Linked DNA regions of Macaca fascicularis. The protein of the gene in region 2 interacts with the protein of the main gene of each other region in a pairwise test. Links are inferred from orthologs where the notes say so. Each region holds a gene or a part of one and is shown on either strand. Other genes may lie near its edges.

Region 1 (3,748 bases), on a different chromosome or scaffold from region 2:
GCTGAGGTGGGAGAACTCCTTGAACCCAGGAGGTTGAGGCCATAGTAAGCCATGATCACGCCACTGCACTCTAGCCTGGGCGACAGATGAGATCCTGTCTCAAAAAAAGAAAGAGAAAAGAAAAGAAAAAAAGCAATGAAAATGAATTCCAAGTGTTTGGGAAAGTGATTTCACTCTTTGTATATTGAAAAGTAAATAGGAAATTAGGAGGAGACAGAGAGTAATAAAACTACATCCAAGTTTGTCCCGGGCAACATTACATAGCTCTTAACTATCAAAGACATATGGCAGTGTCTCATGTGGTTTTACTTTTTTTGAGGGGGGAGAAATGTTGTGGGAGTGTGGGGGAAGGTGTGCAGCAGAATCCTCCTCAAACCCTATGCCCCACCCTCCAGCCCTACGCAGAGCCTCCCTCTGCTTCCCACAGGCCCAGCCCCTCCTTGCTGACAGCTGGCCAAGTCCCAAGGATCCCCAGGTATCTCGATTCATATTTCCCAGCAGGAGTCAAGGCACCTACGGTGGAGACCACAGGACCCAACTATTATTAAGGACACATCCAACCACCATGGCCACATGCTCAGAATCTGCATATGTGAAATAGCAGAGCTGGAGTGTTGTTAGGGGCCATCTCTAGTCCAACACCCTTCCATCCACTTTATAGACGGGGACACTGAGTCCCAGATATGGAAAGGGGCTTATCCAAAGTCACACTGCTATGCAAGGATTTAACTGGACAGGTGTCCCTGCATGTGAATGCCCAATCTTCTAACAGCCTAACTCAGAGAAAAGAAGGGACTGCATCAAATGTATTGAGTAGATGATGGGGCATCGCCCAGATAAGCTCCTCAACCCTGGGCCGAGGCGTTCATTCCCACAGCTGGCATAGGGTTGTCTGTGACAACTCACAACTGAGTCCCTCTCCAGAAACTACCTTCAGCCAAAGACAGCTGCCTCGCCCAAGGTTATGCCTGGGTTCCAGGGGCAGCCCACAAGCAATGACTGGTCACTGCAGGGATACAAAACCCCACAGGATCCCCTGGATCTGCTGAGGCCGGTGTTGCAACTGCATCACAGCCCAACTTCTCCATCTGTCTGATTCCGCCTCCCTCACCCCACACTGGTGTTGTTCCCAGAGCACACACCAATGAACTTTGTATGTGCAAATCTCTGTCTCACCATCTGTTACCAGGGAAACGCAACCAAAGGCAGTGCAGCCAGGGTAGGAAGTGGTAAGACCTCCCCGTGAATCAGAGTGAATAAAATGGTTTCACCAAACACTGAGCACCTAGTAAACACCAGGTCAAGTCCCAGCCTCAAAGATCCCCAGTGGAAGTAAATGCATCCATGTCGTCTGCCTCCAAAGGGAGACCACCTGAATGCTCACCCCACTTTCTGCTACACAAAGAGCCAGGGCTACTTTGGGCCCTCAAGTACTCTTTTCTTCATCCTCAAGCCTGTATATCTATGATGGTTGCTGTTTCAGAACAGGGGAGCAGCCTGCTTAGGAGAGCTGACATGTCCTCTGAATATGTACATGCCATTTGGGTCATTTCACATACTTTATCTTAGTTATTGTTTCTGCCTTCCTGTGAGGTAAGAATTTATGACCACCGTTTTGCAAAGGAGGAAAGTGAGCCTTTGAAAACCTTTTCCCAGATAAAGGAGCCTGTTACCTTCAGAGCCAAGATTCCATCCCAGGTGGCCACGCCCCATGGCCCAGGTTCTTATTCCCTATACCCCACTGCCTTTCTTCAGACTTCAGCAGATGCCTTAATGCAGCCTAAGCAAGCGGATGCCAGGGTTCCAGCCATGTCTTTCTGGAGCTAGAAAAGTCAGAATATGCCTTTGACTTGCTTACTTCTCCTTTTTAAGGAAAACTCTTATGCCAAAGTTGCAACGGACCTGAAGTTTCGCCAGTGTTAACTTTAAAAGTTGGGCAGAAGGGTTAAAACGTTTTGCTCTGATGCCTGTTTATGTTTCCAGAGCAAAGGAAGAAGATCGTAATAAGAAATGCTCTCATCTATTGGGCTGTACCTGCAGGAAGGTAGGGGGTCTGGATGGAGGCCCCTCCCAGTTCTCAGATCTTCTCCAGAGACCTGCGCTCCGTTCACTTCTCCCGGAGCTGAGCAGCTCCCTCTTCCGCTCTGCTTCTGCTGAAACTGGAGCGGAGCTGGTGGGGACCCTGACAGCTACAGCGTTTTAGACACTGATGCCTCTGCCCCATGAAGAGGAAGCCAGGGCACACGGAAAGCCACTGCCCTGGCCAGGGTTCACTCTCATCCCTGGGGGGTCCTGCAATTGCCCTTCCTGAACTCTCTGCCAAGCACATGGTAAGCATTCAGCCAGCCTCTGCAAAGACAGGCATTGTGTCCTACTGCAGCACACATGTGTGCCCCCACACACTTACATGTGAGCACACACACCACTGACACACTCACTCATATACTACACAGTGTGGCCAAAACCATGCTTCCACTCCCCTGGGAGGTCGTCAGGAAGGGTCCACCCCTGCATTCCAACCTCCCCTGAGTCCCCTGGGATAGGAGAAGCAGCTCCACTCACCGTTCTGCCTTCTCGGGAAGACTCTCTTCTGCAAACTCATCACACAGGGTTTGAAGGAGGGAGAGAGAGTTGTCAAAAGTTCCTCCAAACCAGGATCAGGGGTCCATGGGAGGGTCGATGGCAGCTTCTCGACTGGGAGTATTTGAATATGAGTTAAAACTACAAAGTAACTCCTCGTTACAACTGTTTTTTTCCTCGGCAGGGAGGGAGAAAAAAAAATCCCTTTCCCTCTGCCAGAAAATCTTTAACGTTTCACAACGGTCGTTTCCAACTCCTGCCCTCCTTGAGAAGCAAATGTGTATAAAGGCAATGTTATTTCACTGAATCAAGCCCTCAGATCATAAGCCTTTTCCTGTACCACAAACAGAAATGTAAAACCTCAAACTTTCCTTTGGACTTGGAGTCTGTTGTGAGAGGGCAGAACACAACCCTTTCTGAGGTCTAATGTATGGAAAATGTGCCGCACTGTTTAGATCATCGCAAGCACTTGAATCTCTGCCCCTCTCTTCTACTGTGTTTTTTTTTTTTTTTTTTTTTTTTAATGAGTTCTGGTGTGTTTATGTAATTGCATGGGACAAACACAACACCTAAAATCCTTGCCCAAAGTTGAAGTGATTCATTTTCTCCTTCACACACACCACACACAAACACAGTGCCTGTTTAATCCAAGTGAAAACGCCTTTCATAAAATCTGCAAAGAGCTTGGGCAGAGAGACCCATGGTGAATGCAGCCTGTGTCCTGAGAAGGGCAACTGGGCTCGGGGGAAGGTGGAGGCAGACTTTAATCAACACAAACAGAAGGCGCTCTGACTCCTGCCATGCCAGGACAAAAAAGGGATAAATGAAAAAGGGATTTGGGCTCTGGGTAATGGTGCTGTAAAATGTTTTCAGCCTACTCTATCCAATTTCCTCTGCTTGCCTTCTCATACCAGGACATTTTATTTTTGGACTTGGACAAGATGTACTATTATTTAAAATGACCAATTTGACCGCTGGGTTAAATAAATCCTTGGATCACCGTTGGAAAGACCAAAAGAATATACAGTGAGTGGGCAAACAGAACTGAAACCTGAGAAAGTAATATCCACCCCTCTAGTGGAAGAGTGTGATGATTTTCTGGACATAGCAATGTGAGACTGAATGGAAGGGAAAGCCTGCTCTGTTTGATAGAGAGAGAAAAACTTAC
Region 2 (3,748 bases):
CTGGGAGGAGGAGGAAGCTGGCAAGAAATGAGGGGTGGGACTCACCAAGCCTCCGCCTTGGTACTGGCTGCGGGACACATGCCGGAAGCCCTGCTGCAGGGGGACGCCAGGAGGGGCGTCCAGGTAGCCCAGCGGGAACGGGCAGTAGGGGTGCATGCTGGAGCCGCCAGGGTACTCAGGGCCCAGTGCACGGTCCGGGTTGATGCTCACAGGGCGCCCTGAAGAAGGCAAGCAAGGAGGGAAGTGTTAGACACCGCTGGGAAAAGCATCCGCAGGGTGGCACAGGCCGGCGGAGTCGTAAGCGCTGCTGTCCAAGCACAGAAAGCCCACCCCGCCCTTCCTTCCGCTGGGCCCTCACTGCATCTCCATCCTCCAGCCAGCCCCGCTGCTCTTGGAGAGTCCTCGGCACGGCCATCAAGCCCGCTGTGGGCCCCCGGCCTGCGGCTCCCCGCTGCCCACACGCCGTCTGCCCACACTCTGCCTCTACGAGTCCTCCGTGCCAAGTTACTCTTCCTCCGGGTCAACAGTGAACCCGGCCATGGCTCGAGCTCTGGACAGCGATTTGTGTGACTCTTCAATCAACCCTGTCCCTCCCACAAGGACAAGGTCCCTGAGGGCAAGAAATGTGACCCGCGTCCTTCATCACGAATGCCTGGCTCATAGTTCAGCCCAGCCCTGCTTGTCTGTTGAGATGGAACAAAGAAAGGCGGCTTCTCCTAGAATTGCAGTTTCAGACCTGTGACCCCATCAGATGGGGCGTTCCCTGGGGACCTAGATTTTCCTGGAAAGTCAGGAAGGCGGGACGAGCCTGCGGAAGCCTCTGGACCAATGCCCTGGCACACAGAGGGCAGGAGCTTGTCCAGCGTGACCCAGGCTCCCGCCTCGGCCTCAGCCCGTCCCACGACACCACCATGGGGAGACACCAGGAAAACGCGTCCACACCAAACCCCGGGGCTTTTAAAGCTTCAAATGTACATGTGACTTGAAACTGTACTTCAATACCGAAAGCTCCAAGGCACAGGGAACAATGTAATTTATGTACCAGGTGAGGGGCAAAAAGAAAGGCAACATCTTTACAGACCAACTGTTCTCTTACGTGTAGTAAAGCAGCAGGCTCGGCTCACCCGCACGTGGGGAAAGGGAGGGAAGAGGTGCACAGGCGCACTGGTCCAGGGCCGTGCTGAGGGGAGGAGCCTCCCGACCGCGAACAGGGAAGGAAGAGTGCGCAGGCGCAGTCGTCCTTGCGCTAACCTGCCGGCAGGAAAAGTCTCTTATTCTGGAGGAGGAGCCTCCAGCCCAAGGAAATGGCGGGAAGAGGTGCGCAAGCGCAGTAGGACTGGGCTCCTCGAGGCCTCTTCCCGGAGGAGGAAGCACTGCTAAGTCGACTGGACGCCATTTTGTTCTTGCATGCCAGAATGGCACAAACTACAGCTAAATGTTAAAAGCCCTTTGAGCCAAGCGCGGTGGCTCAAGCCTGTAATCCCAGCACTTTGGGAGGCCGAGGCGGGTGGATCACGAGGTCAGGAGATCGAGACCATCCTGGCTAACATGGTGAAACCCCGTCTCTACTAAAAATACAAAAAACTAGCCGGGCGTGGTGGCGGGCGCCTGTAGTCCCAGCTATTAGGAGGCTGAGGCAGGAGAATGGCGTGAACCCGGGAGGCGGAGCTTGCAGTGAGCCGAGATCGCGCCACTGCACTCCAGCCTGGGCGACAGAGCGAGACTCCGTCTCAAAAAAAAAAAAAAAAAAAAAAAAAGCCCTCTGAACCGCCCATTCCCTTATGTTTCCTTTTTGCGAAAAGGTACCCAATCCAAATCCCCGTTCCAAGAAGGGTTTCTTAAAGCAGAAGGTACGTTACCCGTGGAAAGCATTCTCCCCACCCCAAACCCCTATGCCAGCTGCCCATCCGGGCTGGCCTGTACTGCCAGCTCGGGGAGTCCACCGCGGGACTGAGGCCACGACTTACCAAAGTCGGTGAACGGCGGGCCAGGCACGGGCCGCAGCGGCCTGCGCAGGTCCAGGGGGCCGGGGTAGCCACTGCCTGTGGCCTCCGCCCCAAAAGGGGGTCCCGCAAGGCTGGGCATCGCCACGGCGGCTCGCTCGCTCGGCTCCACGTGGCCGCGGCCGCCCAGAACCGGTTGGAAGGCGCTCGGGCCGGGACTCCGGCCCCGCGGGGGCCGCTCGAAGAAGCAGGCGGCCGCGCGGCCCTCGGGTCCCGGCTCGGCGTCTCCGGAGGGAGTCCCCGGAGGCAGAGGGCGCAGGCTCCCGCCCGGGAGGGGAACGGGCGCGGCGGCCGCGGCCCCGGAGGCCTGCTCTGGACCCTGCGCACACAGGGCCGCCTCCTGCTCCTCCTCGGCGGCCTGCGTCTTGAGCACCTTCTGCGCGGCCATGATCTTCTGGCGCTCGGAGATCAGGTAGCACTTCTCGCAGAGGCACTGCTTCCAGCGGCATTTGCCTGCGTGGCCCTTGACGGGAACCAGGAAGCCATGGTTCCTGCATCTCGAGCACTTAGGGGTGCGCACCATCTTGTCGGCCATTGGCAGGGTCAGCCTTCGTAGCACAACCACCACCTCTGGGAGCTGCAGAGCAAGTGGCGCTGGGTTGAGCCGCGCCCCACAAGTCCCTGGTTCTGGGGACATTGGATACACTTGTAACAAAGCACCTCGCAGTGTGTCCCGGGAACTGCAGCAAGAACCTTGCATTTTCCCTCCTTTTGGGGGGTGCACAGTTTGGAGAGTTTCTGTGCTTTGGGTAATTAGATGCAATGGACTGGGTTGCATAAATTCTTAATGGGATTCTATTGCATGTATGTCATTTAGCTTATCTGAAGTCTTAGGCATGTAATTTTCCAAACTCTATTCCCGCCACCGACGGAAGGTATTTGTAACTTCAGGAAAGGCGGAGTGATATTCAACGGTCCACAGATTTAAAACTCGGGAGGAATGTAGCTTTCAGTGTAGAAAAGCACTGTAAGAGGCAAACCGTATTTCTCCTCCCTAAAGCTGCTGCTTCTGTGGCATTTCACTTCTCTGCCGTGCAGAGATGCTTCCAGGATATTCCAGAATATTTTCAAGAGCTCAGTGCAGTGTGATGGTTGCTCAAGGGTATGCCCTTGCAGTAATTCCCGTTTCTTGAGAGTCTTTGTGTAGAAATCCTCTTCTGGAGGATGGCACATTGCTGATGTTCATGCCTTCCAAAGTAAGCATACTTAGAATATTTTAAAGTAAAATAGGCAGAATATTCTGGCACTAAGCCTGGCATAGTGTCCTGTGCCTGTAGCCCTAGCTGCTTGTGAGGATCACTTGAGCCCAGAAGTTGGAGACCAACATGAGCAACATAGCGAGACTCCTGTTTCTAAAAAATTAAATAAAACAAATTCTGCAAGACCCCTGTTTCTAAAAAATTAAATTAAAAAACTGTCTAGCACTAGCTTCAGTAATTGCTTAACCTCATCATGAATTTTGTTATCCTTATAAAACAACGCAAATATTGGGACATCTGAAAAGCTAACACAAACGTCATAGTTTACCCAAGGACATTAAGGTTTTTTTGTTTTGTTTTTTCTTTTTTTTTTTTTTTTTTTTGAGACAGAGTCTCACTCTGTCACCCAGGCTGTAGGGCAGTGGCGTCATCTCGGCCCACTGCAACCTCTGCCTCCCAGGTTCAAGCGATTCTCCTGCCTCAGCCTCCTGAGTAGCTTGGATTACAGTCACCCGCCACCATGCCCAGCTAATTTTTATATTTTTA

Evidence for each region.
Region 1: the proteins of DMRTB1 (region 2) and IL16 interact in a two-hybrid assay, tested with the Homo sapiens proteins (2 studies listed by BioGRID). The two-hybrid records come from large-scale screens. The link is inferred for Macaca fascicularis from reciprocal best matches to the Homo sapiens genes DMRTB1 and IL16.

The regions. Positions count from the first base shown.
Region 1 is NC_088381.1:58,649,084-58,652,831, reverse strand, and holds the start of IL16 (pro-interleukin-16), read right to left. Parts: upstream 2,726-3,748; 5' UTR 2,603-2,725; coding exon 2,563-2,602; intron 1-2,562. UniProt on the Homo sapiens protein: Interleukin-16 stimulates a migratory response in CD4+ lymphocytes, monocytes, and eosinophils. Primes CD4+ T-cells for IL-2 and IL-15 responsiveness. Also induces T-lymphocyte expression of interleukin 2 receptor. Ligand for CD4.
Region 2 is NC_088375.1:181,219,614-181,223,361, forward strand, and holds the start of DMRTB1 (doublesex- and mab-3-related transcription factor B1), read right to left. Parts: upstream 2,562-3,748; 5' UTR 2,539-2,561; coding exon 1,968-2,538; intron 219-1,967; coding exon 46-218; intron 1-45.